7 linked regions of the Coturnix japonica genome follow. The protein of the gene in region 1 purifies or fractionates together with the protein of each later gene. This does not show direct contact. Links are inferred from orthologs where the notes say so. Each region holds a gene or a part of one and is shown in the gene's direction. Other genes may lie near its edges. The genes, in order: WWP2, AMOTL1, POLR2D, FAM168A, LDLRAD4, AMOT and RPAP2.

Evidence for each region.
Region 2: the proteins of WWP2 (region 1) and AMOTL1 purify together in Homo sapiens (affinity purification with mass spectrometry; 3 studies listed by BioGRID and IntAct, counting the BioPlex papers as one, with this or other methods). This does not show direct contact. The link is inferred for Coturnix japonica from reciprocal best matches to the Homo sapiens genes WWP2 and AMOTL1.
Region 3: the proteins of WWP2 (region 1) and POLR2D purify together in Homo sapiens (affinity purification with mass spectrometry; 3 studies listed by BioGRID and IntAct, with this or other methods). This does not show direct contact. The link is inferred for Coturnix japonica from reciprocal best matches to the Homo sapiens genes WWP2 and POLR2D.
Region 4: the proteins of WWP2 (region 1) and FAM168A purify together in Homo sapiens (affinity purification with mass spectrometry; 3 studies listed by BioGRID and IntAct, counting the BioPlex papers as one, with this or other methods). This does not show direct contact. The link is inferred for Coturnix japonica from reciprocal best matches to the Homo sapiens genes WWP2 and FAM168A.
Region 5: the proteins of WWP2 (region 1) and LDLRAD4 purify together in Homo sapiens (affinity purification with mass spectrometry; 3 studies listed by BioGRID and IntAct, counting the BioPlex papers as one, with this or other methods). This does not show direct contact. The link is inferred for Coturnix japonica from reciprocal best matches to the Homo sapiens genes WWP2 and LDLRAD4.
Region 6: the proteins of WWP2 (region 1) and AMOT purify together in Homo sapiens (affinity purification with mass spectrometry; 3 studies listed by BioGRID and IntAct, counting the BioPlex papers as one, with this or other methods). This does not show direct contact. The link is inferred for Coturnix japonica from reciprocal best matches to the Homo sapiens genes WWP2 and AMOT.
Region 7: the proteins of WWP2 (region 1) and RPAP2 purify together in Homo sapiens (affinity purification with mass spectrometry; 3 studies listed by BioGRID and IntAct, with this or other methods). This does not show direct contact. The link is inferred for Coturnix japonica from reciprocal best matches to the Homo sapiens genes WWP2 and RPAP2.

The regions. Positions count from the first base shown.
Region 1 is NC_029526.1:16,996,707-17,000,609, forward strand, and holds part of WWP2 (NEDD4-like E3 ubiquitin-protein ligase WWP2), read left to right. Parts: intron 1-283; exon of another isoform or gene 284-328; intron 329-454; coding exon 455-594; intron 595-2,539; coding exon 2,540-2,753; intron 2,754-3,903. UniProt on the Homo sapiens protein: E3 ubiquitin-protein ligase which accepts ubiquitin from an E2 ubiquitin-conjugating enzyme in the form of a thioester and then directly transfers the ubiquitin to targeted substrates.
Region 2 is NC_029516.1:165,959,377-165,963,279, reverse strand, and holds part of AMOTL1 (angiomotin-like protein 1), read left to right. Parts: intron 1-2,645; coding exon of another isoform or gene 2,646-2,648; coding exon 2,649-2,795; intron 2,796-3,903. UniProt on the Homo sapiens protein: Inhibits the Wnt/beta-catenin signaling pathway, probably by recruiting CTNNB1 to recycling endosomes and hence preventing its translocation to the nucleus.
Region 3 is NC_029524.1:1,664,273-1,668,323, forward strand, and holds POLR2D (DNA-directed RNA polymerase II subunit RPB4), read left to right. Parts: upstream 1-1,565; 5' UTR 1,566-1,620; coding exon 1,621-1,693; intron 1,694-1,765; coding exon 1,766-1,946; intron 1,947-2,178; coding exon 2,179-2,274; intron 2,275-3,222; coding exon 3,223-3,301; 3' UTR 3,302-3,408; downstream 3,409-4,051. UniProt on the Homo sapiens protein: Core component of RNA polymerase II (Pol II), a DNA-dependent RNA polymerase which synthesizes mRNA precursors and many functional non-coding RNAs using the four ribonucleoside triphosphates as substrates.
Region 4 is NC_029516.1:175,055,806-175,060,466, reverse strand, and holds the start of FAM168A (protein FAM168A), read left to right. Parts: upstream 1-1,745; 5' UTR 1,746-1,767; intron 1,768-4,287; 5' UTR 4,288-4,382; intron 4,383-4,661.
Region 5 is NC_029517.1:87,055,169-87,059,071, reverse strand, and holds part of LDLRAD4 (low-density lipoprotein receptor class A domain-containing protein 4), read left to right. Parts: intron 1-1,807; coding exon 1,808-1,861; intron 1,862-2,990; coding exon 2,991-3,533; 3' UTR 3,534-3,903. UniProt on the Homo sapiens protein: Functions as a negative regulator of TGF-beta signaling and thereby probably plays a role in cell proliferation, differentiation, apoptosis, motility, extracellular matrix production and immunosuppression.
Region 6 is NC_029519.1:12,244,829-12,249,376, forward strand, and holds the start of AMOT (angiomotin), read left to right. Parts: upstream 1-1,580; 5' UTR 1,581-1,769; coding exon 1,770-1,782; intron 1,783-3,158; exon of another isoform or gene 3,159-3,223; intron 3,224-4,548.
Region 7 is NC_029523.1:12,310,377-12,315,006, reverse strand, and holds the start of RPAP2 (putative RNA polymerase II subunit B1 CTD phosphatase RPAP2), read left to right. Parts: upstream 1-1,584; 5' UTR 1,585-1,625; coding exon 1,626-1,686; intron 1,687-2,111; coding exon 2,112-2,157; intron 2,158-2,999; coding exon 3,000-3,114; intron 3,115-3,532; coding exon 3,533-3,631; intron 3,632-4,518; coding exon 4,519-4,584; intron 4,585-4,630. Other genes in the region: GLMN (glomulin), read right to left, coding at 718-783.

The DNA.
Region 1 (3,903 bases):
CCTGCTGTTGAACATTCCCCTTCCCCTCACCAGACATCCCTGTGAGAAGCTGGACTCTGGCTGTGGTGGTTTCAGTGCTGACTTTCCCAGCTGTTCCTTCCTGGCATCATAGGCAGAAGCTTGCAGCTTCCCCACTTGTCTCTGCACTGGGCTCGTGGCTGCTCTGAGTGTTTCCTTGGGGGTCTCCTGGTGCAGGAGGCAGCGGTGTGTGATCATCTCTGGGCATGCAGGCAAGAGCTGCACTGGGAGTTGTCTCCTGTGGACTCTGACACTGGGGGTGGGATGCCAGGACCTGCGTGCTGGTTCGGAGAGCTGAGGTTCGGAGCAGGTATGTGCTGCTGTGTCCCAGCAAGTGGGCAGATGTCTGTGCCTGCGGAGCAGCAGCATGGAGTCAGGGCAAACAGGCTCTTACCCAGGCCCAGCTGTGCCTCACCTCCTGTTTCTTTCCCTGCAGGACACACCGCCTCACTGCTGGGGCCTCCAGGCAGGGTGTGAGCAACGGGGAGCAAAGTCCCAACACACGGAGCCGCCACCGGCAGCCGCCCAAGAGCCCGACAGCCACCAGCATGGCCAATGGCACTGCCAGCAGCACTGGTGAGCACAGCGGGGATCTGCTGCTGCTGCGGGCATGGGGTGGGCAGAGCTGGGGGTGCGGTCTGAGGGGGAAAGGAGTTTTCTACTGTGATTGAGGGTCCTGTAGTGCTGAGGGGTTTCTTCCCCATAAAGGAACTGTTGGTTTCACTTTGATAAGCTGGGCAGCTCCTTAAGGCTCACTGGTGGGACCTGTTCTGTTTCTCTAATGATTCCTTGGGCTCCTTTCTGTGAGAGCACAAACCCACCCCTCAGAAGGACACTCAGTCTCATGCCAGCAGTACTTTCAGGAAGAGTTTTCCTTGTCTTTTCATGGGCTTGTCCACTGGACCCGAGTGTGTGACTACAAAGCCATAACCAGCTCACCAGCTTTTCTCTGCTGCTGTGCTGGAGCTGCCCCGGGACAGTGGTAGGACAGTGCCTGGCACTGTGGGCTTTGCCGGGGTCCCATGTCCCTCATCCTGGGCAAGTACATGTTGCGGTGCTATAGGGTGGGAGGTGGCAGCAGGGTGGCATCACTACCACAGGCATTTCCTACTCCCCTGCACTGTTATTTTGCAGCAGTTCTGTCCTTTCTTTTGCTCTTGTCAGAGACCCGAAGGGAAAGCAGCGTGCTTTGTTTCAGACAGAATGAAATGCTGGGTTCAAGACAGGAGAACTTTTTTCTTTCCCATTACTTTGGAAAAAGTTGGAGCACTTAATTTCTATTTTGCCAAAATCCATTCTGGGAGGGAGGTGGGGGTGCAGAGGGCTGCATTGGGACGCAGCAGTTCAGCCTGCAGTCCCAGCTCGCCCCATTGCTGCCCAGCCCCTGCCCCGCTGTGACGCACCCGCAGGCACGGTGCTGTTCCTGGGCTCTGCTCGCTTCACAACGCGTTGTGCTGGCCCGGTCCCAGCCTTCCCAGTGTCTTTATGGCCGTGCCGTCCTTGTTGCTGTTCATCGTTCAGCAGTGTGCCAGCTGGGGCGTTACACCTCGGGATGGGAGGTGCTGCCGGGGGTGGTGCTGGGCGCTCTGTCACGCTCAGTTTGCCTCCAGAAGCCTTCCTCTTCCTCCCAGCTCCGTGTGTTCTTTTGACAATAGCTTGTGCAGTTTGGAAGCCAACTGCTGCAAGAACTTCCCAGTTACATTTGTAGCCAATAGCTGTAATTTCACCTGAGAACAAAAGGAAGTTGCTGTGTGGCATGCATTCTCCATGGTGTAGCTTAGCCCCAGCCCCACTCCTCATGGAGTCCTTATCAGTGGACTTTGAATCATCTTTTCCCATGTTCTGTCCAGGACTGGGATCAATGCAATTGCAGTGCAGTCACCCGAGTCACATTCCCTCAGAACTGTTTGAAGCTCCTCAGTCTTTGCAAGACTTGCCAGCAGTGAACACCTGACTCCTGTGTGATGTTTACTACAAAACCTGGCCTTGCAGCTTTTTGCATTTCTGAATTCTAACTCGTGGAGCTCTACCTGCATCCCTCTGTTCTGTTTTGAATTCTTTAATCTGTGGCTGTGGCAAAAGTTATCCTCTGCTGTGCTGCTGAGCTCTGACAAGTTTCATTCTTTTGGTCTGCATTTTCCTCCGGATCAGTTTTTGTTGTGGTTTTCCCTTGCTCAGTCCCTTCCTCTGTCCACAAATGCAGTGGAACCAGCACCACTCAGCTCCCAGCAGTGCCTGTTGTGGGGATGCTGCAAGGCAGCCTTGCCCCTGAGCTCCTCGCTTCTGGCATCTACATCAGGCCTGCAACACATCTGCAGGCAGCAGAAGGGATGCTGAGCACAAATGCAATTGTCTGCTTTTTTCTCAAGAGGAAAGATGGAGGCAGGGGCTCTGTGGACCTGGCCTGGAACCGTGTGCTCCCTGTCGCCACCACCACCACCGTGGTTGTGAGGCTGCTCCAGGGTGGTGGAACAGCCAGTGCTGCTCTTGGTGCTAATATCTCTCCCCTCTGCCTTCCCAGTGAACGGTGATGTGGTGGGAACTGTGGATGTGGAAGAAGAAAGGCCGGCTGCGGGGACTGCCGTGCAGGCTGCAGACACATCGAGCACAGCTGATGGTTCTGTTGCTGCATCCACCCTTTCTGCCCTGCCTGGCTCCACAGAAGCCGAGGAGGCAGCACCCAGCACCCCGCAGGCACGGACAGCAGTGCAGGCTCAGGACTCTCTGCCCCCTGGGTAAGCAGTTCTCGCTGCTCTTGTTCCCTGATGGAGCAGCATGGCTGAGTGCCCTGGGGGTACTTGAGGAGGGAGGCACAGCCCTGGAGGCAGTGAGAGAGCTGCTGGGACACTGCTTTGTGCTGCAAGAGGGGATGGGTGTTGGAAGGCTGGGGCCATGCAGCAGGGCTCAACAGCGATGACCTTCCTGCTCAGCAGAGCTCATGGCATGGGAAGCCCTGCAAGGGGCCGTGAGCACAGCCTGGGAAGGGAGCCTAGAGCAGAGAGGGGTGCTGCTGGGAGTGCAGAAGCATCCAAGAAGACCTGCTGTCTCTGTCTGGTTCTGCTGAATGGGGATCTGTGTCTCCCATCCCTGACACAGCTTGTCTCCTGTTCAGCCAGAGCAGGGTCTGTCTGTGTTGGACTGCTCTCTCCTCCTTTGGGCCAGGACTCTGATCTGTATCCATTGTGGGGCCCTGGGGAAATGAACAGTGAATCACATCTTTGCTATTAGTGGCCTTCCAAGGCTGGTGCCTGGAGCAGTGAAGTCCTCAGAGATCCTGTGGCTGTTCAAAGGTTCGGTGGGAAGATCATGAGAGAGAGAGAGTGTGGATCTGCAGGGAGCTCCCTCTAAAAGGGAGGCATGGATATCAAAGAGTGGAATATGACAGAAATGGACATTGTGGGGAGCTGAGAGGGATCCTCCCACAGCTTCTATGTCTAGTGCTACAGCGGATTGAACAGGGATGTGAGCAGCCCCATGGTGCATCAGTGTTTGGAGCCGGGTAGGGCCTCTCCTGGGTCCTGGGGTCATTACTGGGAGAGAGAGAGAGGGTCGTCCTTGGGATGGTGAAGCCCAGTCCTGTGCTGTGCCAGCCCTGTGGTGCTGAGGGAATGCCTGGGGCTTGGGTTCCTCTCTGGCTGCTTTGTGTCCTGCTGGGAAGGAGTGGGACTGTGGCCTGGGGCAAGCCTGAGCCCCATCCTCCACCTTTCCTACACCTTTGCTCTGGAGTGTGAATGCAGAGTTGGAGGATGGGGGAGGGTCTTGCAGTGCCTCATATTCGTATGAAGGAGCTGTTTATTTTCCTCTGGCTAAGCCGATGCCTGGAAGGTCAGGGTCTTGCTGATGTGTCAGTCACAGGTAATTAGGGTTAACGGCTCAGTGTGCCTT
Region 2 (3,903 bases), on another chromosome or scaffold:
TGGGGCAGCTCATGTCTGGGACATGGTTGTAGCCCATTGGGAAATCATAGCCCAGTCTTGGGATAGCACCAGTGGTGGTTCGACTGTCCTTGTGTTGATTTCCTTCATCAATACTTTTCTCACTGACCTAAGTGATGAGTGCTCCATCTGTAGAAGCACCCAAGGTTGGGCTGGATGGAGCCCTGAGCACCTGATTGAGCTGTAGGTGCCCGTTGACTGCGGGGGGTGTTGACTTGGTGGCCTTTGAGGATCCCTTCCAATTCAAACTATGATTTACGCAGCAACAGGTCAGAGGAAATATTCCAAAGGTGGAATGAGGTATTTATATTTCTTGCTGGCTTGGCTGAGAGACAGAAGGACAGATGTGGGCTTTGAAACGATGTCATTTTTGTTCTGTCATTTTTGGATCCTCCTTACAGACCCTGGAGGAGTTGATGGGAAAGTGCAAAGCCGCTTTATTTCCCTCTTAATTTCAGATGGCTGCTTTGGAAGGAGCTTGAAATACTCCAGTCTCTTTTTGAGCTGCGATACAGCTTGGGAGGGGATTTTCTTTAGGACACCCACTGCTTCTATCTGGCAGGGTGGAGGATTTTGGGAGTGGTGAATGACGGTGGAGGAGCCATATGGAAAACAACTCCCAGCGCTGCATCAAAATAGCAGCAGGCCATGCAAAATGGGCATTTTGGGGGTGTTTTAGTAAAGATGTAAATCATAGTAGGTTGGCTGGAAGAACACTGCCTACTCCAAATAGCTTTTGAGGAGGAAATCAGCTTCCTGGAAGTGCTGGTATTGCTCTGAAGACGTGGCTTTCCTGTAATGTCACAGCAGTATGCTTCCTATGAGGTTTTGGGTTTGATCCCTTTCAAAACCAGCCCAAAACCACATCAGAAACAGGAAATATTTAAGCATCTGTGGGTCCTTGCTGCATTAATCTTAGTGAATGATTCATTTAAATGGTTGCGAATCTTGAATTGCGTAGCTGTATGAGGATGATATGGCATAATTATGTGCTTATCTTTAACAGAGGAAACAGATGAATGGGTGTTGTGCAACCATTGAGGTCTGGGAGAATGGGTATTGAGGCAGAAATCCTAGGAGGGCTTGGGTTGAACCTTGAAGCCCACTCATCCCCAACCCCTGCCATGGGCTGGTTGCCCCCCACCAGCTCAGGCTGCCCAGGGACCATCCAACCTGGCCTTGAGCCCCTCCAGGGATGGGGGGCACCACAGCTCTATGGGCAGCTGTGCCAAGGCCTCCTCTGAAGGAGCCAGTGCTAACCAAGGGATCTAAGCAAGCAGCAAATTCTGGTCAGGTTCTAAATCCTGTAAGTCCAGGATTTTTTTTCTCTGGTGGCTTCAGACCTTCCTCAGCAAAGTGATAGCACTGAATGTGGCTCTGCTTGTTTCTTCTCAAGTGACCACTTCTCTAAGCCTTTTCTTTGCTCCCTTTGGCTATCAGAGTTTGGGTAACCATCACACCAGGCAGGTTGCCTTTCTTTGGAACCCTTCTGGCTTAGCTGAGCTGCTCTGGTGCTCAGGACATGCCCAGATGCAGGTGGCGTTCCATGGGTGCAGCCCATCTCATCTCACTCCTTGTCTTTTGCTGTGATTTGCAGCAAAGCCGTTTTGCTTTGCATCTCCTCATGTGCCCTTTGCTGTAGATACAGCACTTGAAGATGCAACCTGAGGGTGTCTAATGACTCAAAATACATCAGGCGGATGAATGAAAGCAAAATTTTAGTAGCGGTTTTTCTTTTAGCTTTTGCTGCCTAGTGATGACGTTTAGCTGGTGGGTGTTTAGGCTGCTTGTAATGCCCGAGACTGTTTTTCTTCCCTGTGTGTTTCATCCCAATCCAGCTTTTATTTGTAAAGCAAGCCCAGGCTCACAACTCTTTGTTTCAGGTGGAATTCCCAGTCCAAGGGCAGGGCTGTGTGTGTGTGGAGGAGCATTGAAGGGTGTATGGGATGTTAATACAGCAGTCGTGTTGCAAAGTGGGGTTCTGATGTTTTCCTTGTGTCTTCATCAGCACAAATGCTAGAACAGCCTTCCGTGCTAATTCTGACAAACATGTTTAGCTTATATCTCCTCAAGTGAGCAATCTTCTCCTCCTTGCTCTCTAAATATAGATAACTGCCATACAGATCTGTGTGTAACATGAATGGTGGAGTGATGAATTCATTAACATTTTGCACAAGCGCCTGTTTCCTCTCCTCTGGGCACAGAAGAAAATAGTTTCTGCATCTCTGTGCCTGTAATCGGGATGGGCAGAATCCTGCTGCCCTGCTTCATATAGGGGGTAGAATCAGCAATAATGTGCTAAAAATATGTGCTTCTCTGCTTGTGCAAGCTTCTCCCCATGTCTGTGGGCTTCACAGGGCGCCCAGGGCCATGCCCAGGTGGCATTGGGAGGTCTCCAGGAAGGAGATTCCACACCCTCTGTTGGCAACCTTTAAATCTGCTGGTTCTTGTAAACCAAGCTGGGTCAGCCTGGCTGTGTTCCTGGGCTGGGGCATGGGATGGCACTGATGGTTCATTGCCTCCTGCTTGTTCCTCAGCCTGACCCCAGCAGGGCCTCTCAGACACTCAGGGCTTTATATTTTATCATTCAAATAACTTATTGACTGACATCCTACTTTTCTTCCTTGCAGGCTCCTCAGCTGCATGCTACAAGCCCACCAGCCCAGGCCAGATACTGGAGGACACTGGCTTTCTTTATCAGGACCACCAGTTGTTTGCTGGCAGGCATGACATTTCTCCTCTGACAGCTGAAGCAGTCAGTGCTAAAGAAAAAGCTGGTGAGTTGCCACTCTTCCTTATGAACCCATCATGGTTACGTCTGGGATTTCCCTATGCGTGAACTAACCAGATGCCATTTATAAATAATATTTACTGAGATGAAGGTCAGCTTCTCATCCCCAGCATGGGCAAAAGGCAGGTTCCTTTGACCCAAGCGTTACAACCCCCTGTCATTTGTATAGTCTAATAGCTTCTGCATTCTTGCATGTAAGAGAAGTTTTTATTGCAAGTCTGCAAAATGACTATTATAGCAAGACTCCTGTGCACTGTGATAATGCAAATACAGCAGTATGAATTTACTGTAGCTTCAGGAGTGGAGGAGCATATGGATGGACGTTTGGCTATTGTGCAGCCAGCTAAATGGGTTTGTATCATTAGAACTAGATGACCTTTAAGGGCCTTTCCAATCTAAGCCATTCGTCTTGTTGGCTCAGACACAGGCCCAGGGAGCTGGCAGACTCTCTGTGTTCTGGTGGTGAGAGATGTGTTCTGCAGATCAGGTATGGAATAAAACAGCCTGAGAATCTTCTCTCTCCCTCAAGCTTCACAATCATTGTTAAGCTTTTATGGCAGGAACAGTGTTAGTGGAAATGGCCAGTTGTCACAGAATGAGTCAAGGGCATTTCTTCCCCTCTGCCATCCAGATTGTATAAAATTTGACCCACAGCATGTGCAGTAACTGGTGAAATATGGGGAAATAGCAGAGCTCAGGAGAAAGTTTTGCTTTTTAACTACTTTTGAATGCCAAGAAAACAAACACAAGTACTGCTGAGGAACTCCTTTGAGAATTGGAAACAGCAGGATAGAGAAGGGAAGTTGCCAAAAATGACCTCAAAAACTGAACTCAGAACAGCACCTCCTCCTTGCCTAGGAAAATGGGAGGACTCTGCGGAGCTGAGGGCTAATTTTCACTTCTACCCCCACCAGGAGCACTCCTTTGGTGTAGGCACAAATACCTCACAACTCTTTGGGATGGGTGCACAAGTGAGGATCCAGCTAGGAGGGATTATGCCTTGCTCCAAGCAAGCTTCACTGTGTGCATCGCTTTCTATAACTAATGCTCATGTTGCTGTGCAGAACAAACAGGACTGAGATGAAGAAGGGAGC
Region 3 (4,051 bases), on another chromosome or scaffold:
CAAGAAGAGATTAAGGTCTCAGTGTTCTGATCTTATTACCTTCAGTCAAAACCTGCTTTCTAAATAAAAGTCAGTCTGTGGCACGCCCACTAGGTAGATAATTACTGCGACAAAGCTCCAGAGCTGCTGGAAGGAAAGACATTACAAAATTCAGCAATGCTGATAATGGAATGTATTTATTACATGTTCCTATGTTTTACTATACAGATGTTTAGCTAAAGGGGTTTTGTTTTTGTTGTTTGTGTGTGTGTGTGTGTGTGTGTGTAATAGCTGTTTTTTTGCACTCAAGTTGCTAGTGGGTCTGTTTTCAGAGGGAAGGAAGGAATTGCTGTAGAGTATCTATTTAATAAACCACTGATGTCCCAACCAACACTTTCTGCCCTGGACTATGCAACAGAAGCTCATGTCTAAAACCTGAGACTGAAACCAAGCACAGCAGTGACAGGGAGCTGTTAGCCACCACCACCGCCTCCTTGGCTGTACCTTTATGCTCTTGTAGGTATGTGGCTTTCCCCGAATCCTTTCAGTTTTCATGTACTTAAGTAGGAGAGATCACTGGGGAACAACAGATGTTAAATTTGTAACCAAGACTGCAAGCTACCTACTGCTTGAAGATCAGGATGTTCTGAGGTGAAAGGGTATGTGAGAAGCTGTTGGGATTCCAAATGATTTTAAAAGGCTTCTCTCATCAATCTGGCATGTGGATGTGGCCCTGGACAGCCTCATCTAGTATTAGATATGGAGGTTGGTGGCCCTGCCTGTGGTGGTGGGGGGGGGAGGGGTTGGAGCTTTATGATCCTTGAGGTCCATTCCAACCCAAGCCAGCCTATGATTCTATGATTTCCTTGTTTTCTTGTAAACGTAATTGAAATAGCCTCATTCACTAGATGTTCTATTTCCACACTATCTTCCTGAGTGTCTTTCTGTTTGTACCACTCAGCTAATTCGTTTTTAGTTCGCTTCTCTGCCACGCTCGTCTGGAGTTAACAAACATTAAGGAGCTCAGATCTGATCCTGCAGCTCCTGGTGGAGCTCACCCACCTGCAGGGTGCAGGAAGCACAGCAGCCGGCACAGATGTGCGTTAGGAGAGCAGGAGTGGCCTCACAGTGAATCCTCCAGCCATTTATTTCTGCATTTCTTTAAGGGCATGGGGTGACATTGTGCAGCCTAAGATGATTACTGTAAGTCTTAAGCTGGTTGGGCACTTTCATGTGTGTTCCCAAGGGAAAGTACTACTACAAACACTACTTTGCTAGCAGTGCCAGGACGAACCCACTCATTTCCAGCCTGCCTGAAGCTTTAAGCTGTCTATGGATTATTCCTGAGTAGGCCAAAGAAGGGAACCTTACTTCTATTGTGTTCTGCTATTGCCATCCATGCTCCTCCCACACACACCTCCATGTATTTACCACACTGCACCAGAAGTAATGCTGCTGTGGGTTGTTTCCTGGAGCCATCACTCGCTGCGTTCCCTCAGAGGCATCAAGATGGAGGCGCTGGGTGCTCACAGCGCCGTGCAGCGCAGCTGGAGCCACCTGAGGCGCCGCTCCCTCTGCTGGGCGCCGGGCACTCACAGCGCTGCGCTTCCGGGCGCCATGTCTTCCAGTTCCGGGTGAGCAATGGCGGCGGGCGGCAGCGACCCGCGCACTGCGGATGTGGAGGAGGACGCCTCGCAGCTCGTCTTCCCCAAAGGTGCGCGGCGACACCTCGTGCTGTTGTTTGGATCCGTGTTTTAAACACTGACGTTTGCTTGTTCCAACGTAGAATTCGAAACGGCAGAAACCCTGCTGAACTCAGAGGTCCATATGCTTCTGGAGCATCGCAAGCAGCAGAACGAGAGCGCGGAGGATGAGCAGGAGCTGTCCGAAGTCTTCATGAAAACCCTGAATTACACAGCGCGGTTCAGCCGCTTCAAGAACAGGGAGACCATCGCCAGCGTCCGCAGGTGGGTGCGAGGCTTTGGGCTGTGATACGTAACATCAGCCTTGTTCGATGGAGCTGAGATTTACTGACGTTTCCTGGGCTTCCCACAGCTGTGTCTGTCTTTTTACCTATCCACTGTTGTAATGTTTCTTCCTTCATAAACTTGGATGCAGTGTCAAAAAGCAGAGTTGTGTGCTGTCTGCTTGCCTTGATGCTGCTTTGCTTATCTGTCTTGTTGTTGGCTTTCCTCACAGCTTGCTGCTCCAGAAGAAGCTCCATAAGTTTGAACTGGCGTGTTTAGCCAATTTATGCCCTGAGACTGCTGAGGAAGCCAAAGCTTTGATTCCCAGGTGAGCATTTATATACCTAAAAGGAGTGTGGTGTACTGCCCTGTGATGTAAAGCTGCCCATGGACAGATGCCTCCTCCATAATCCAGCTCTGCTGATGGGAAAACCTTCCATCTCAGTTTTTCTTCACTTACCCATTGATCTGACAGTGAAGCAATCTAAATATCCCTAACGCACTTTAGATAACATTTACTGGATTAAGAGTGATGGAATCGTGGAGTTGGAAGGAACCATTAAAGGCCATTTGCTCCAACTCCCCTGCAGTGAACAGGGACACCCACAGCTGGGTCAGGTTGCTCAGAGCCTGGCCTTGGATGTCTCCAGAAGTGGGGATTCCAGCACATCTCTGGGCAGTGGCTTAGACTGGGGCTGTCAGCCCAGCCAGCTGCGTTTGTTGGTTGTTGTTGGAGCAAACAGCAGTGTCCCTCTGAACCGCTGGGTGGACAATGTGCAGATGGGGCAGGGAGATCTTCCAGTGTCGTCTCATCATTTGTTACCTCGTACCCTGAGATAGAGGAGGAATGAGACACTCATCTGAAGTACAGCTTTCCCCTTGTATGCTAAGATTTCATAGAATCTTCTAAGTTGTACAAACGTTTGTTGAATACCTCCACAAAAGGCAACCAGCACTTCCCTGCTCAGCCTGTTCCAACACCTCACCACCCCTTCTGTGAAGAAATTCTTTCTAATTGAAACCTCCATTGGTACAACTTGAGGTATTTTGCTCACATTCTTCATAGCAAATCTGGACTGGCTTATGAGCATGAGGCCTGCACCCGGGTTGACCTTTTGGTACAATGACTTGAAATCATTCCACACTGAGCTGTGGGAAGGTTGGAGTTCTGTCACATAAACAGGAGGCTCTGCATGGGTGTGAAATGAATTCAGAGGGGAACAGGGGAGGCTGTTCCTACGAGCTTTAATGTACCCACCTTGTTCTTACCTTGCAGCCTCGAGGGCCGGTTTGAAGATGAGGAATTACAGCAGATTCTTGACGATATTCAGACCAAACGCAGCTTCCAGTACTGAAGCTGAGCACCAAAAGCTGCCCTGATACGCTCAGTTGTTTTGTATTATTCCCCTTAGCGTAAATTAAAAAAGATGTTTCTAAGATATTAAAAGATATTTCTAATTAAGCTTCTGTGTTCTGTCATATTTATGAAGATCTCTGCAATACACTGATTGTACTGGGACAAGGTGGACGCTCTGAGGGCTGCGCGGCTTCCGATTGCGCATGCGCAGGCTGTGGAGCGGCCTCCCTGCCGCTCAGCGTCTTATCGTGGTGCGCATGCGCCGCCCCTGGCGCTGGTGGGGGCAGGAAGATGGCGGCCGGCCGCGGCGGGGGATCGTGAGGCGGCGTCGGCGGCTTCCGGGGCCGAAGAGCCGAGCCGAGCCGAGCGGCGGGGCCGCGAGGGCGCGGTGGGAGACGCCGGCTGGACGGTGAGCTCGGCTGGGTGCGGTGTGAGGCGGGAGTGGGGCTCGGAGAGCGCGGTTCGCTCCGCCATTTTTAGGCCTTGGCCCTGGAGGGAGGCCGAGCTCAGGCCGAGCTCAGGTTGGAGCGGGGCGGGATCGCGGCGCTTCGGGCCCGGCCTTGTCCGCGGGGTGAGGGATGTGGGCTGTGAGCGCCGTGTTGTGGTGGGGCAGCGCTGCGCCGTGCGCGGCTGCTGGGGCCTGAGTAGAGCGTCTGTCCCGCTCCCAGTTCGTGCTGTTCCTCCTTGGGCCTGCGGGGTGCCGGCCTGGCACTGCTCGGAGGTGGGTGCGGGGCTTTGCGGGCAGGTA
Region 4 (4,661 bases), on another chromosome or scaffold:
GCTTACGATTCCTTCAGGTGGATCTAATTTGAGATATATATATGTGTATTAGCCAATACTTCTGGTTTCTCAGTGTTTTATTTAGTTTATTTTTGGATGTGTCCTGAAAAGAACTGAACTCTGGTCTGGATGATCTGATTTAACATCTACATACATGAGGCTCTATGACAAGTGTCCCTGGTCAACTCTCCACTGTCTCCTTGCTCCCAGCCTAATGCCTTTGAGCTGTAGTCCTTCATTTATTCACTGTGTGAGCAAAAGTTATATGAGAATGGAACTCTGTCGATGCTTGTCTTCATGTCTGAATAGATTGTTTGCCATGTTCTCATTAATCCTTCTTTTAGTGCTCGTAACAGAATGTTATTCTTGGATTTTTTTTCCCCCAATACACAATAAGGTCGAACTGAGGCTGCTGTAGTTGTAAAGAGATCTTTTCCAATGATTCCAAGACTTTGAAGGCTCAAGGCCGTCGGTGGTGTAGTAAATTATTTCAATGAACATTGCTCTTAGATAATTAACTTGCTTTCTTTTGACTGCAAAGTTGTTTGTGGCTTAATAACCTTAAGGTGTCTTAGAAAGTAGAGGCTGCTCAAGAGAGAATATCAGATTCGCAATACCGTGGTGTTGTAACACTGATGGAAACAGGAGGTGAATGGCTTTAACCATCTACTTCTGTGCCTTTGAATATTTTTTCCTGTCTAGGATTAGAACTGTTTGATACAAGGATGCAGCCCAGCACATGGAGCTGGTGCTGGAGATGGACCTGGAGGTGTTCAGGGGACATTTGGACGTTGTATTAAGGGACCTGGTTTAGTGAGAACTACTGGTGATGTGTGGATGGTTGGACCCGATGATCTTGGAGGTCTTTTCCAACCTTTGGTGAACCTATGATTCTGTGCAGTGCTGGGAGAAGGATGGTGCTTTAAGGCTGAAAGAACATGGGGGTAGGAGCACCTGGGGACTGCATAGAGGAGTGTTCATTAAGTAATCTCAGTCAACTGAGTTTTACTCATTGGAGCTGAAGAACCTTCTTGGTTTTGCAAAGTTGGGATGCCCAGAGGTTTAAACACAAGGCTGTGGAATGCAGAATGGTTCTTTGGCCTTTTGGCTAAGACCAATGGAGTGTTGAGTAGACCAAGGGAATAGGACTTAAAAACATCGAGTGCTTGAGTGCCTGGCTCCATCTTCATCCAGTAGGATTTTACCTCCTGATGCTTTTCTGTTCCTTCCAAATTCACAGTCCTGGTGAAAGTCCCATTGGACGACCACACGATTCGATCAGTCGGGAAGGTTTTTGAGGAAGAAAAATAGCTCAGGATGAAAGTTGCACAGTGCAACCCAACTAAATAAGTCTTTTCCTCGGCTGAGAAGGCTGTGTTTGTACTCTACAGCATGTCAGGAACTCGGTGAAGGTTTTCATCTTCATTTGATAAGTCATGGAGTGTGTTTTTAAATGAGTTGCGCCAGCACAGCATTGCCCTAACGCTCTACAGTCTGCCGAGGTGAGGTTTTTAAACAACGTGTTCTAATTAATTCTTAATCCATTTCATAACCCGTGTTCCCAGCTCCTACCTCTGGAGTCTTGATTTTTATAGAGGAACAAAAGCAATGGATAGAAAAGGACAGAAATGGATGGAAGTACGACAGAAGAATCAGGGAGATCATCCTAACGGTGAAAAGAAGCAAACTTAATATTGGTCATAGCAGAGGAGGATAGAAATAAAATGAAGAATACTCTGCCTGCTGCCAAGTTAGTGAAGATAGTAGGTAAAGGTTTTTCTTACTAAGCAGCCCTAGTAATCTTATAAGGAAATGTTAAAGGGTTTAAACTTTTTGGCACCAAAAACACAATGGGAGTGAGTGGAGGACTCAGGGAGTAAGCTGCAGGAATCCTTTGTTGGGTTTCTTTGCTCAACTGGATAGAGGTAAATTGCTTTAAAAGGTAGAGCATGTAATCTCGTAATTAGGAAATTAGAAGTTAATGGGAAACTTGAGCAAAATGTGTTAATGAATTTATTCAGCAAGCTGCTGCAACTTTGGCCCTCTGAAGAAGGCTGTAGGAAGCTGAGAGTGGTGAGCAGGAGATGCAAGAGCCCTGACCCTAAACTGAGGTGGCTTTCCACTTGTACAAATCTGGTAGACGAGCAAATAAACTGCATTATAAGGCAGTGACACAGTTGCCCAGTGAGTGGGGTGGTCACCATCTCTGGGGGTGTTCAGAACCATGGGGATGTGGCACTGAGGGATGTGGGCAGTGGGTATGGTGGGCTGGGTTGGGGTTGGCCTTGGGGATCTTGGAGGTCTTTTCCAACCTGAATGATTCTGTGATTCTAAATCTAAGTGGACTGGAGAAGGTGTAGCAGCATCCAGAAACTTTAGAAGCCAAAACAAAGCAAAACCCCTCAGCTCCAGCAACCCAAGACTGGCTTTTGTGTCCATCCTTGGCTCCTCATATGCCATTTTCTCTTCAAAATATGTTTTCCTTGTCTCAATGTCTAATAAGTGTCATACAGAATTCATACAGAAGTTTGATTTTTGCTAGTACTCATTTGTGTTATCTTCAGTTCTGACCATTTCTGAGGGTTTTTTGAAAGAGAGAAGAGAGCAGAGATGCTTTGTGGCTGTAGGTAATGGACAGGATGACCCAAGTGATGTGGTGAACAGGAGGTGGGCACAACACTTCTGTCTGCTTGTTTACAGCTGGAAAATAGTGGAAGGATGAAGTTGCTGATAATTCCCTGCCCTGAAGGTCACTGCAGTGCTGTCCTGCTGAACCAAGCTGGTTATATGGAAGGAAAGCACCGCTCGTGCATTCAGCACGAGGAATTTATGGGTTTCTGTGGCCATGGAGGTGTAAAGATGTAAAAATAATAAATTAAAACAAAAAAAATGCAAAACTTGGCAAATTTAGCTACCAAGGTGGATCTGCTGAGTGAAGCACTGAGGGCGAAGGCATCCAGATTTAGTGTAAAACGGATGGAAAGAGGGTTGGTCCCATAGGTGGGCACACTCAAGGATGCTGGGGGGGGTGCAGCTGTGAGGAAGGGGTTGCACTCAGGTTGCTGGTACCCACATTGCTTTTCTTGTTTCTTTCTCACTACGAAAGGAATAATTTCATTTGACAAAATGTTACCGAAGCTTTTGGAACTGAAGCTGCAGCCCACGTCTTCTTGATAAATGGCTGTGTGTATTCCTGGAAGGAAGTTAAAACGGGGCTGTGTTATATTTGGTACCTCCCGAAGCACTGAGGCTACTCGGAGTACAAAATGTGCTCCAAGAGAGACTCATTTGCCAGTGCTGAGCGTGATGTGATGAGATTTGTCAAGTCGTCCTTTCTGCTGGAGCTCACTTTGCCTTTCCTCTCTCTCTCCTGGAGACGGTTTGTTGCATTCTGTAGTTATGTCATTGAACTGGGAGGCTGTAAAGGAAGCCAGAAACCCCAAAAATGTGAGGAATCTCCAAGCAACACACACACTGTGTTATAAGGCAGAGAGAGAGAGAGGTTAACTGCGTACACATAGAATTGATAAGGCTGGGAAAGGCTTCCAAGACCCCCAGCCCACCCCACCATGCCCATTGCCCATGTCCCTCAGCCCCACACACTCTGAACACTCCAAGTTCCTGTGTTTTCTCCTTTTTGGAAGCTGAGAAGATCTTGGTTTTGGTTTGTCTGCTCCTGATGCTGACTGATATGCAGTAGATAGATATATGATATATCTATCTATATATATAGATATATCTATCTATATATATATATCTATCTATCTATCTATCTATCTATCTATCTATCTATCTATCTATCTATCTATNTATATATCTATATATCTATATATCTATATATCTATATATCTATCTATAATAGATATATGCAGTTCTCCGGCAGGATATAGGAAAGCATTGAGTTTCAGTTCATTCAGCCTTAGTGCAAGATGCACCACGTGAGTATCCCACCCAAAGCCACCGAGCGTAGCAGATGCCTACAGGAAGATTCTCAGTCTTGATTCAAGAGAGGATGCAAATGCTGAATAATCTGTTGGAAATCCCGATGGAAAAATGAATTCTTTGAGTTTTTAGAGGTTAAACAAATGGACATTTACTTTAAGGGAGCTGCAGTAGATGCACCCACCCACCAGTTGACAGCAGTGGGTCCGATTCATACACACATGCCTTGCTGCTCTTGCTGCAGTGCAAATGACGACGTCTCCACGATGGGACAAGCCGTGCTTTCTGTGCATTGGGTTTGCCAGCAGAGCCTCACTGATGGTTCTCTTTCTGTTGTTCCTTTAGAGCTGTGGAATGCTGTGACCAGTCCCAGTGCCCCGCAGCCCAAGGCACGTCGCCGTCCAGATCATCTCCATCCAAAGGAAGTTTGTTCACAAAAGGTACTGACTCACATTTGCGTGGTGTACTCAAATGGTTACGTTTGAATGGGAATACTGCATTGATTTATGGAGTTATTAAGTCTGAGGTAGTGAGGACTGGGGTAGAATGCACAGTAGGTGTGTGCTGCTCTTGTAAAGAGCTGTGAGAGTTGGCTTTTTAGTGGTTGTTAGTCTTCCTATTGTCTTAATAAACACAATTGTTTTGTATCCAAAAGAAGGTGAAAGGCATCAGCTGGGTCAAATCAGAGGGTTGGCAAGGGGACAGTCCTTGTATGCAGC
Region 5 (3,903 bases), on another chromosome or scaffold:
TAGAAGTACATTCTGTCGGATGCTGCTGATTCCAAGGCTCATCCTTGGTTCTGTGTGCCAGGGTGCAGTATGCAGGTCCTACTGTGTGTCTGTGTGGAGAGCTTTGCCCCACACTGTGCTAACTCCTTTGGTTCTTCTCAGTCTCCTGCCTTAGGTGGGTAATAGGTCATCACTTCCACTTTCACACTGGCAACACGTTCTGAGGTGACTTTTAAGTAACATGAGTGTTGGTGTTGTATTGAATTCCTTTCTGGGCTGGGTTTTGGCTTTTCTTCTCTCTTCTGAACCTGAATGCTTTAAAGGAGAGAAAGTGGCACGAAGCATAAAGCTGCACACTTGGGAGTTTGCAGTTGAATGGCAGCCCTTGGGTTGTTAACTGGGCATTTTAGCATTGACTGCTAGACGTCGCTGACTTGCAGTAGGCTTGGAGCCTGCTTGGCCACCAGCTGATAACTTGATTGCCTGTAATTGTACAGATACGCCCTCAGATATTTTAAACCGTGGGTATCTGGGTTATGGAGGGGTAGAAAGGAAGGTGGATACTGGTGTAACTTGAACTACTGCAGTTACACAGCATTTCTGTAGTCAGCAAAATCTTATGTAGCCACTGTAGTACATGAGTCTACCTAAGATTCTTTCCTCATATCAGGTGTTAGTGAGTGGGGATACTTGCAAAAGGAAATTGTAAATAGCTTAAATTGTCAGCCTTCTTTATCTACTCTCTCCAGCTACAGAAGAGAAGTGACTGACAAGCTTTGTTATTCAAACCCTTTCTCTTAACAGCTGAATCCTATGGGAGATTCCTCCCAGAACAGCTTTCCTCTGTGGTGGACTCTCCTGACAAGATCACAGACGGTTTTGGTGTCTGAGTGCCATGCTGAACATCTAGTTAGGTCTATTTTTACATCTGAAATATGTTCAAAGATGCTCTGGTGAGAAAAAGCTGTACAGTAGGATTTGCAGTGTGCATTTTCCTTCCTGGAATTTCTGATGCCTATGAAATCTTGCAAGTTTACTTAGCACTAAGAAAATGCTCATAACCGTGTACTGTTTTGATTTTTTTTCTCTAGTAAGGTTGAAATTCTGTCCTCTGTAACTACTCTAGTTTGTCCTTTTCAGCTTTCAAGTTTTCCAGTAAAATAGATAAATTGCAGTACATATTGCTGCTCTAAAAAATTGAGAAGGAAAAGAACGGTACACCTGAAACTGTTTTGCCCTTATTGACAACTTTTTCTTCACCCTTTTGTTCTGGCCCTGGGTACAGTGCTAAAACAGGCTGCTGGGGGGTGAGAGAGAAAACACTTTGGCCTGGAAAGGTGGCCGGGAAGTGCCTGAAGAGCAGAACTGGTGGCTGAAACCAGTTTCATTGCTGTTTTATGGTGGGAATCGAGCACTTGACGGTGTTGACCAGGGTATTCCTGAGTTTAGTCCTCTCCATGGCACGTGACAGGTGTCATCAGATTTTGTTGTGTACGGTTTTGACTCCTTGTGTAATTAGGACACTGGGCAGCAGGACAAGCTTCATTAGACCTCATGGCAGCCACATCCCAACACGTGGCTGGGACTGGCCTGCTGTATCCCTGCGGTTTGTGAGGCCAGCTGCTGTGGCTGGCATCTCTGCATGTTCACAGTGCGCTGAGCTTCACCTGCTTGGATGCAGAGCTGCTGTTCGTTCTACTTCTAGAAAGCAAGGGGTGGGACTCCCCTTAGGTGTGGTTAACCAACAGCTAGAAACGGATTGTTCACTGTGGTACTGAGGCAGGATTGTCATGATTTTTCTCATGTGTTGTTCCCTTCTGCCTTGCAGGAAGGGTGCTTGTGGCCTTCGGAAAGCTCGGTTTCACGCCAGGGTGCTTCAGAGGTACAGTGGCATTTCTTACCATCTTTGACATTATGTATATTTGCCTTCTCTTAAGACATGCATCTATTTAGTAAATCAGGCCTTGGGAGCTGAGATCAAGAACCACATTCATATGGACATCTAAACCTGTCTTAACTCCCGTTCTTTAAATGTCTAAGACATTTTCATTAAAAGAACATTCTAACTTCCTGATGTCTCATCTCCGTCAGCAGCTCCTTGTAACTTAGTAGACATTCTCAGGTAAGTGACGTGCAGAGGCTCAGTAGTTTTTCATTGGAATGTGGGAGACCTGTTGCTTTTCTCCCTTTGATTTTTCCTGAATGTACACACACACCCTCTCACCAGTGTTTCCAAATCTCTGGCCAGCACATATACGTGGCCTGTGTGGTAACTTACGGGTGCGCTGTCCTGAGAGGCCCAGCTCTCCTGTGCAGCTGACACTGTGTTTGTGTGGGTCAAGGACTAAGGACCCTGTGGGGACTAAGAAATTAAAAGAGCAGTTTGATAGAGGTAGATCTAAGAAGTTGGTGTGTCTGTCGAGATTTGAAATGGATGAAGTGAGAAGCAATAGCTCCTCTCAGACTATCTCAAACTCTTCCTGGCTGAGAGCTGAGGAGGAGGAGGACACCTGCTGTACTCTGATGGTGAAGGCGTGAGATATGCTGGACCTTCACAAGATACACCAAAGTGTCCATCTGAATTCTTTGTTAGTGCTGGGTGTTAGGTTAACTTGGAACAGGAGGGGTAGGCTCAGGCTGCAGCTGAAGTTCAGTATTGGCATGTCTTGGAGAACTAATTAATTGTCAAGATTAGAGAGGAAAATAATTTGGAGTGTTTCCTATCTACAGAAACAGAATTCATTTATCTTAGCTATTCGTGTTTTAATATTAGAAGGATCGTCTTTCTTGAAGCTGTTCTGCAATGTCTTGTGTTAGATCCTTCCTGAACTCCTACCTCTTCTTTTCCATGCCCGCCTGTAGGAGCAGGCACGCACAGCATCTGCGGGATTGAACCTCTGAGATAGATGACAGAGAGAAGCATTTTCTGTTTATTAGTTCTTCATCAGCATGGAGAGCCCTCAGTGCTTTGCTCAGCTCTGGAGTCACATTTCTCTCTCTTCCCATTGCAGATTATGTATGCTCCAAGGTCCAGGGACAGGTTTACAGCCCCATCTTTTATGCAGCGGGACCGTTTCAGTCGCTTCCAGCCCACATACCCATACATGCAGCATGAGATTGACCTTCCTCCGACCATTTCCCTCTCGGATGGGGAAGAGCCGCCGCCATACCAAGGCCCGTGCACCCTGCAGCTCCGGGACCCAGAGCAGCAGATGGAGCTCAACCGGGAATCTGTCAGGGCACCGCCCAACCGAACCATTTTTGATAGCGACTTGATAGACATTTCCATGTACAATGGGGGCCCCTGCCCACCGAGCAGCAATTCGGGCATAAGTGCAACCAACTATAGCAGTAATGGAAGGATGGAAGGACCACCCCCGACGTACAGCGAGGTCATGGGGCACTACCCAGGCTCCTCGTTTTTCCATCACCAGCACAGCAACGCTCCTCCTTCCTCGCAGAGGGGGAGCAGACTTCAGTTTCAGCAGAACAATTCAGAGAGCACAATTGTCCCCAGCAAAGGCCAAGACCGGAAACCAGGGAACCTGGTCTAAGTCACTCTCCAAGGTGCATTTGGACTGAAGACAAGAGATTGAAGCAGGGCGGCGGAGGAAGAGCCCAGTGCTCCGGTGCACAGTGTTGTTACATTTCACGTGGTACAACTTAGTAAAACCAAACGTGCAAACCAGTTGTTTGTTTCTGATTCCTTTCAGGGGAATTGCATGCAAAGCAGATGGAAAGAAATACAAACTTCCATTCAGTTTGTCTATGAGCAGTGTTTTGGGGGGCGGGGGGAAGGGGAATATATTATTTTTTTTTAATAAACTATTTCAATTATTTAATTCTAAAAGTAAACTTAGCACAGAAATGAGGCTCGTACAGCCGATTTTGTACTCACTGAATGGCAGAAAGACGAAGGTTTTG
Region 6 (4,548 bases), on another chromosome or scaffold:
GCAGTAACGAGGCAAAGAAAAGAATGAGCTTGTCAGCCACAAAAAGACTATGGATTTTGGAAATCTACTACTACAATAACAAACGTTCCACCGTGTTTTATAACAGTCTGTTCTTGTCTGGCTCTGGCAAACAAGGCCTTGTTAGAGCAAGGCTTGTTTTAGTGTCGCTCTTGGAATCCTGTGTTGCTGGCTTCCCATGGAGCAAAAACAAGACTTACCCTCCATATCTCCTTTGGTATTTACAGTGAAAGGTCGGTGTGTGGCCACTACCTCCTCTTTGTCCTCCTCCTCTTCATCAAAAGCAACAAGACAAAGCTGTCTGTAATCAAATATAGCAAGGAGTTGTGATGCACCATGAACACAGATGTATGCACTCAAAAATATTTTTGCACCTGACTTTTGGATTCGTGCTATGTATGTCTTAGAATGGTTTGTTTGTTTGTTTCCATGCCTTATTCTAATTATTGCCACTCTTAGGTCTGTGTGCTGAGAACAAACCAACAGCAGAACTAGACATGCTTAGTTTTTCAGATATTAAAGCAAAGGGGATGAAATGTCCTTGCATGAGTCTGCAGGAGCTGTACGCTTGATGACCAGCAGCTGATTAACAACAATTTCCAGATGTTTAACCTTTGCCTATAGTTTAGTTTTAGTAACTATTTGTCTATCTGTAACTATCTATTTCAAGAGAGCATGTGGCAGAAGGCCACAAAGATGAGGGGCCTGGAACATCTCCTGTACAAGGAGAGGCTGAGAGACGTAGGGCTGTTCAGCCTGGATAAGAGAAGGCTGAGAGGGGATCTCAAGTGTAAGAGTCGAGTAGATGGGAGCGTGCTCCTGTTTGACCAGGGGGTTGGACTCCATGGAACCCCGAGGTCCCTTCCGAGCCCTGCAGTTCTGTGACTCTGTGAGGGGCCTCCAGTGGGCAGCAGCCATTTCGTGAGCTCAGAAACCCCACTCACCTGGAGGTAAGGGTGAGCTCCGGGTCCTTTTGTTCTCCCTGCGGGCTCTCCTCGGCGTACCTCACTCACAGCGGTAACAACAACTCGCTCGGCCTTTTGAGAAGGACTTCTGAGCTTTCATCCCCACCAAGTCCCGCTCGGACCCTCCGCTCGCTGAGGTGCCGCCACCGACAGAGCCCAGCACGCAGCCCGGGGCGCTGAGGAGGGGCGGGCGGACTACGCCTCCCGGCAGCCACTGCAGGGCCCGGCCCAGCGGGGGATGCCGGGCGCCGCCGCCGCCTGGTGAAAGTTATCCACCCAACCTGGGCAAGGCGCCTCCCAGAGCCGCGCGGCGCCTCCCGTTGCCATGCCGGCTTTGTCACCTCGGCGGGGAAAGCGGCAGGATGGATGAGCGGGCGGCCGACGGGGCAGGCGCCCGCCGGGTAAGGAGCGGGAAGGGAGGGACCGATGGAAGGCGCGGGCCGCTGCGGTGAGGCCGGTTCTCCGCGCCTCTGAGAGGGCCCGCGGCCGCCCTGCCCGCCGGGATGCCGGGCTCGGGCAGGTGCAGGGGAGCGGCGCGGGGCTCCGCCGGTGGAGAGGCCGCTGGGGGAAAGGGGGAGCGAGGAGTCTGCTCCCGCCTCACGACCGCGGCCCTCCTGCCCTCCATCCCTCCCTCAGGGGCTGCCCGCCGCCCCGCGCTCGGCCTGAGGGTACTGTGGCCGCGCTGCCCCGTCTCGGGCCCCTCCCGGGGACGGAGGCAGAGCCGGGGCTCAGCCCCAGGCCCCCGCGAGTCCTGAGGAAGACTCCTGGGAAAGCTTCGAGAAGGCTATGAGGGTTTGCCGTGAGTACCTGCTCTGCGGTCAGAGGGGTTTGCGTGTGTGAAGGGGAGAGCAGAGCTGTGCTGGCCCTTGCCATGTCTGTTTTTGGGTCCATGTAGCGCCAGGGGACACTTTGCTCCTGTAGTCCCACACAGGAGCCCTGTGGCCTCAGTGCGTGCCTGGCCCACTGCTCCCATTCCTGCTGATCCACCTCTGCCCGAACCCCAAATTAAGCAGAAAGGACTCCAAATCCTCCTACTTTGGTTCCTGAGAGAAGAAAATGTTGATCTATGAGTGATGATCCCAGAAGTGTTGGGAGCTCTGTATCTGTGTCCCTGCCCCATAGAGAGAGAATGATCCCCCAGCAGCCCCCTGAGGTCTGGGTTCAACCATCCCTGCGCTGCCCCAGGTAAAAAAGACTGGGCCTTTATAGGCAGGCTGATTCAGGTTGGCCTATAAATATTCTCAGCGAGACTCACCATATGGTGGGAGCAGAGCCACAAGTTCCATCTGTGCCAATTCCAAGATATCTTTTTGGTAGAGCAGAGGGACGGAAGGCTGAATCTGCAGTCACGCAGGAACCTGGCGGCTGTTGCTTTTGCTTGATGTTGTAGGTAGCCAGAACCCAGCGAAACCACCCCTATGTGCCAGGACACCTCCTGGTGTTCCCATGGCACAGGTACTTGGGGGGCTGTTTTTACTTCTTAAAACATCTGGTCCCAGGCTCATGCCCATGGCATCCTTGCCTGGAGTCCTTTACCACGAGGAGCATCAAGAAGATGCCCATTTGATTTTCAGGTTAAGTTTCTGTGTCACCTCTAATAAATGATCTTCTGCTCATCCCTCATGCAACAGAAAATAGAAAATTCCATTCTAATTCAGTCCTCGTTCTTATTCCACGTTTTAATAATAGTTTTTCATTTAACATCTAATCCTGTCCTAGCACCTCTAATCAGTAAGGCCCAAGGTGCTTTACAAAAGAAGGGAAAAAAACCTATTCCAATTATCCTCATTAAAGCTGATATCTTTTGGCTTTGGGCAGCTTCTGCAGATAATATAGGTCATAAATAATTAGGAATACAATCTAATTAAAAGAAATCCCAGTTGTAAACCAAAGGGCCACACTGAAGAAGCCGGTCTTCAAAGGCACGGCCTTGTAACCTAACCTCCCTGATCAGAGCAGCATCCCATTAACCTGCAGCTCTTTGCCCTCCTGACCTGTGTGCCCCAGCAGCAGGTACTGCTGGGTGCCTGTGTAGGATTGTAGAGAGGGAGAGATTCAGGGTGTCTGTGACAAAAAGCATTCTGGTTTGAATAAAGGTCTGGTGTTTAGCAAGCTACCATAACCCACAGTCTGAACTGAGCAAAATGGAACTAATGTAGGGGTTTTTTTTTTTAGCAAAAGAGAAATAATTACTGGAAATTAGAAACACTGCTCAAACTCGAGTCCTGAAGATAGTTAAAGTAAGTTGTGTCCTGGATCAAGTTCATACGTGACCTAAATAGAATTCTGACCCCAGAACTCACTCTGAGCACTATCTTTCATTAAAGTTGGGTGTGAACTTTCATGTCTGGGAGTTTAGGCTCATACTAAACTGGATCTCTGTGTTTTACCTGCGTGCCTCCTTGGAAGCTGACTATCTCAGGGCTGCTGTTTATCTGTATAATTCAATAGTAGGGCTATGTGGGAGAAATCCCTGTTCTCATTCCAAGAACTTGCTGTCACGTATTAATTATTCTGTGGCAATATTTGTGCTCTGATTCCTAGTTACACAGTGTTTAGCGATGACCTAATTGCAATGTTCTCATTAGCAGAGAAGTTTCTGAGTTTGACTTTCTAGTTCACCTTCTCCATAAGTCATCATACGTTCTACCATCAATACTGCTACTTTAGCCTGATGTTTTCTGGGTCGTCATAAGGCATTTGAAGTGCATCCATAACAGCTTCTTGCATTACACTGTTGTATCCTACAACTTAGTTCAGAGTGAGAGCAGACCATCTTGTAGGTGAAAATGGCAGAATCTGAAGAGCTATGTCAGCTTTCTTACCACTAAAGAAACCGCACCTGTGTTTGGTGTTGGGTAATTTCCTTGAAAGCTGGGAATACACCAGCAGCTACGAACAAACCTAAAATGGCCAGACTCCTTTTGGATTGTCTTGTGCAGGGGTTTAGTCTCAACCACGAGATGTTGGTTTAATTTTCAAACTCAGAGGCTGCTGACTGCAGGTTACATTAACTGAGTCCCTTTGGGCTTAGGAGAGGTCTGATTTTGATCTACCTGTGCTGTAATTTCTTTGTTTGTAAAACCCAGATGTTTTGTGTTAACTGTAATTGTTTTATATACATGGAGCTCAGAATAGTAAGGGATGGCTGGAGCTCTGGGAAGCACTGGTGATACTGGACATGGGCTCCATGTGGCAAGAGGACACCCACAGCAGTAAGGCAGTGGGGTACACAAGCACTGGGAGCTGCAGGGTGGGGGGATGAGAGCAGAAAAAAGGGGGAAGGATCAAAGGAAGTATATAAAAGTATAACATTAGAAACAGTGTATGGGGCAGATGGCTGACAGAAAACCTTGGAAGAGCAGGTCTAGAAGGATGTAGGGAGAAAACTAAACCTATGCTGCTTGGACAAGGCTTTGCCTTTGCATGTGATAACGTTCTTAGAAAAACTTGGTGCCACTTATGGGAGAGACGAGGGGAGAGGATTCCTGGAAAAGTACATATGCGCACAAAGAAGCCTTTGGTTTCTTCCCTTGCACATTTGTAGAGAGCTCACGTCTTTCTC
Region 7 (4,630 bases), on another chromosome or scaffold:
GTATCCAGTTCTGAGTACTGGATTCATTTCCGGGCTCACCGGAACAAAAAAGACAGAGTCCAGTGGAGGGACACAAAGATGACAAAGGGCCTGGAGCATCTCCCATATGAGGAAAGGCTGAGTAAACTGGGTCTATTCAGCCCTGAGTAAAGAAGACTCAGAGGTGATCTTATTAACATCTATAAATATCTTAAGTGTGGGAGTCAAAGGGACACAGCCAACCTCTTTTCAGCAGTGTGTGTGGACAGGACAAGGGGAAATGGCAATAAACTGAAGCACACAGGAAGCTCTGCATCAAAACACAACAGAACGTCTTCATGGTAAGGGTGACGGAGCACTGGAACAGGCTGCCCAGGGAGGTTGTGGAGTCTCCTTCTCTGGAGATATTCAAGACTACTCCTGGACACCTACCTGTGCAGCCTGCTGTAGGGGGCCTGCTTTGCAAGGGGGCTGGACTTGATGACCTCTGGAGGTCCCTTCCCACCCCTACAGTTCTGTGATTCTGTGATATGTTCACTTTGACATGTTCTGCTGAGAGAAACAAGAACACTTCTTTCTCCAAGAGGGAAAACTTGGGAAAACAGTCAGGGAGAAGTGAATGAAACATGGAGACTAAGCCCAGATAGCAGCAAGGAGATCTTCTAACAAGTATCTTGTGTTCTGAAGCCATAGAGTGAACCTTTAATTGCACTTATGACTTTTATGAGAAGTACTTACGCATCTTTGTATTATGGCTTGAAGTTCATCAACTGCCATTATTGCTTGAGTTTGCTCTTCAGGCATTGAAAACTATTAGGAATTAAAAGGTACAGTATTAAAACACATTAAGTAAATGCAGAAATTTAAAAATAAATTAAAAAAAATCATGTTATTAAGACACCAAATAGAGAAATGAGAACAGTCTTTTAGCTACTGCATGGCCACATACAGTGGGAGCTGTATGTGCCTTCATATGTGCCTTCAGGTGCCTGCTGCCTTGTACCAACAGTGGTTTAGACCAGTCAAGACTACATATGCAACATTATTCACTTCCTTGCAGTGCTGGCCGATCAAGCATTCCATTTTCTTCAGGTGCAACAATTAAAAACTTCAGGTTTGGGGATTCCTGTTTGTTTAACAGCTTTGAGTACTTTCTTCTGCCTAAGGCTCGTTATACAGCCACTGTCCCTAACCCACCACCAATTTCCATACGCTGTCAGCTCTGCTGTTTTCCCCCCCAGCCCTCGGACACGTGACGGCACACACGGCGCTGCTCAGCTCCCCACGCTGTCAGGCCTTACGACTTAACCCACTTTCTAATTACATCTTTCCAGCGGTTCCAGCGGCAAACGTACAGCACCCAAATAAGCACAAACTTACTGCTGCTTATACTCAGAGCCCTCCCTCCTCTATTAAAGTAGCTTTCCCACGTGGGGTGCCACATACACGCCAGCACGAGGGGCTGCTAAGGTCAGCCTTTAACCCAGGGCTGAATTACAAACAAAACCCGCAAGAAGCGCTCCCCGCTCACAGCACCCACCGTAACCGCTCACACCGCGCTGCCGCCGCTCCTCGCTCCCGGCCCGGGCCCGGCCGACACGGCTCCGCCTCCGGTGAGAGGTCAGAGGGAGGGAGGCGGCAGCGCCATGATGGCGGATGGGAAGACGCCGTGCAGTGCGAAGGGGAGGCCCGGCCGGCGGCGGGCAGGTGAGTTCCGCGCCGCGCTCCGCCCGCTCCGCAGGCCGGTACAGTGAGTTAATGCAACTCCTGGCCGTGCCGGGCGGTAGCACGGCAGCACAGCAGCACGGCAGCACGGCCTGGGCTGGCGGGGCACGAGGGTACCGCGAGTTCGGGGCGGCTGCGGCAACACAGCGGCTGCACGGGGCAGGGCTCCCCGCAGGAGGTCGGATGAGGGCAGGCCGTGCTCACCCCGCAGCGGTACAAAACCGTACCTGACACTGCCCAGCGGTTATTGCCTTGCTGAAGGCATAGCCAACAACAGCGAGGCTCTGTGCATTCCAATGTGCATTCCAATGTGCTTGCAGAAGTCTTCGTGTTTTTTAAAAGTTCCAATGTTTTCATTGCTAAAGGAAGAACAGACACTTATATGCTTCCATGTTTTCGATTTCTAGGACATAAACGGTCGGCTGCCCCTAAAAATGAAGATGCTGATCAGAGGTATCATTTCTAGCAAACAACACACTGCGATCACTTTGCTTTGCTTCACTCTGGAACTGTGCTCTTTTCCTCCTGTGTTTTTGGCTTTGCCAGAGATGACTGACCTCCAGAGACACCAGCATCCACCTCCAGCAGGTTTTTGGTGTGATGCCGTGGGTCTTTTAAACAAACATCAACTTAGCATTGCTTAGAATAGGCATAGCCATCCTGTTTGGATAGAGCTGCACATTACATCTGAACAGGGCTGAAAGCTGCATCCCCTTTAAGCAGCATAGAACAACACAGTACAGGTGCCTCTGCCAGCTGCTCCCACGTGTCAGACAGCCGCCCATCAGGGAGAGATGCCCAGAGGAATCCAGATTTGCAGTGGTGACACAGATGGCAGGAGAACAACTTTCCAGGGGGAGGTGGAGCTACAGGAGGTATCTCTGTTCCATCACCTGGCTGATGCACAGTTCAATTGGCCTGTCTGACAGAGTGAGAATAAAGTTCAGCAAAGGCTACAATCTACATATAGAGAGAGAATATATCAAAATATGCCTCACTGCAGATACATGGAAGGTACAGGAAAATACCAATGGGTGCATATACTGGAATAATTCTGTTGTGGTTTGACAATAAAAGTCAATACTTTTCCTGACTGGGGAGAAAATAAAGCAAAGAATCTTTTTGTTTGTCTTTAGTGGTTATTACAAAATTTATAGCCCACTTATTGCTTTGTTTGGCCAACTTGATGAGATGCAGAAAATATAAACTACTGTGTTTCAGAAAAGAAGATATCCAGGTGGGGAATTGCTTATGGGAGCTGCTTTCTGTTTCATTCAACATCTCTTACGTTACAGGAAAGCAGCCCTGGAGGCTTCTACTAGAAAAAAGATTGAACTTGAGAGAAAGGCACTGCGTATTGTTGAGCAGCTCCTGGAAGAGGACATTACTGAAGAGTTCCTTCTGAATTCTGTACGTGTCACAAGTTTTTGTGTTATTTTGTATCTTAGTGTCCAGCTGTTTTTTAAAAGTCCTTAGAACAATTTGCTGCAGTTCAGAGCAGACAAGTTCATCCTCTCTTGTCAGCTCTGTTGATGGCTGCCTTACTTTCAAGGGTTCTCCAGTGAAAATATGCTCCAGTTTTGTAGGATGAGATATAATTGTGAATCTCTCTCTATTAGCATACTTTATGCCTCTGGGAAGCACAAAAAGTTAAGTCCATATCATGCCCTCTGTGAGTTTAGCCAATGGTGCTCTTTACCCCACAGTTCAAGTGCTGTATATTAAACTTACAGTTATAAAATGGAAAGTATGTATTTGCTTATTTACATCTGAGTGTGAAAAGTAACAGATCTTCCAGTATTCTTGAACTATTTTCTTGTAATTGCAGGGAAAATGTATTACTCCATCTCACTATAAGGACGTTGTTGATGAACGGTCTATCATCAAACTATGTGGTTACCCCGTATGTCAAAATAAACTGGAAAATGTAAGTTGCTTTTTTTGTTTGTTTTTGAGTAATGTTATCATAAGAACCTAATCACATTTTTTATTCTCTTGCTTATTTTTTTCATTTTAAACTTAGAATGTTAAAATATAGATTAAAATGCTGTCAGGTATCATTTCAGTATAATGCTTCTGAAGTTAAAAGTTAAATCTGATTGATTGACAACTGTTGCTGTATAAGGGAATCAATTACAATCTATTTGGACAGTAATAAAGATAAATAAGGTGTGGTGTCATAGCTATCCTTTGTGCATGCAGAAACATTTTAATCTGTTCCTTCTGTACCTTTGTAAGAAGGGCTGATATGAAAGAGGTAAAACACATGGGTATTACTATGTGACTGCAAATACATCCCCTCCAAAAACAGACCTTACTTGTGTCAAAATCAGTCATGCCTAAATACAACGTATTAGAGCTTAAGTGGAACTATGAGTTCAGTTACATAACCATAATACCAGGTGTGATACAACCAGTTATCTGGGAAAAATAAATCATGAAAGGAAAAATAGGTACCGTTTTGGATTTCACATGTCCCAACAGAACTTGGAAACTATTACCTTTGATGTAAGCTCCCCTCTGGATTTGTCTGAATAGTGGCAGAGTCACACATGAACAGGGTTTCTTCTGTGACAGCTCCATTGGTTCACTCCCAGCAGAGGCTTTCTTGTAAACCTGAAGTTGCCTACTAAGATGTGAATGAATAATGAGAAATTGCAGTTCTAATGTCTAAGGAGATACAATACCAAGAGAGCTGCTGTAGTACGTAATTCAGTTAAAACTGAATACATTACTTATACTGAAAACGTGAATTAAAAGGAAAGTTTTATATAACATTGTGACAATCTTGCTGATGAAAGCATGTCATTTTAGGTGCCAAAACAGAAGTACAGGATTTCAACAAAAACTAACAGAGTTTACGATATTACTGAAAGAAAGGTATGGTAACAAGCTGTTTTTAGAATGTATTTAATATTGTCTCCAC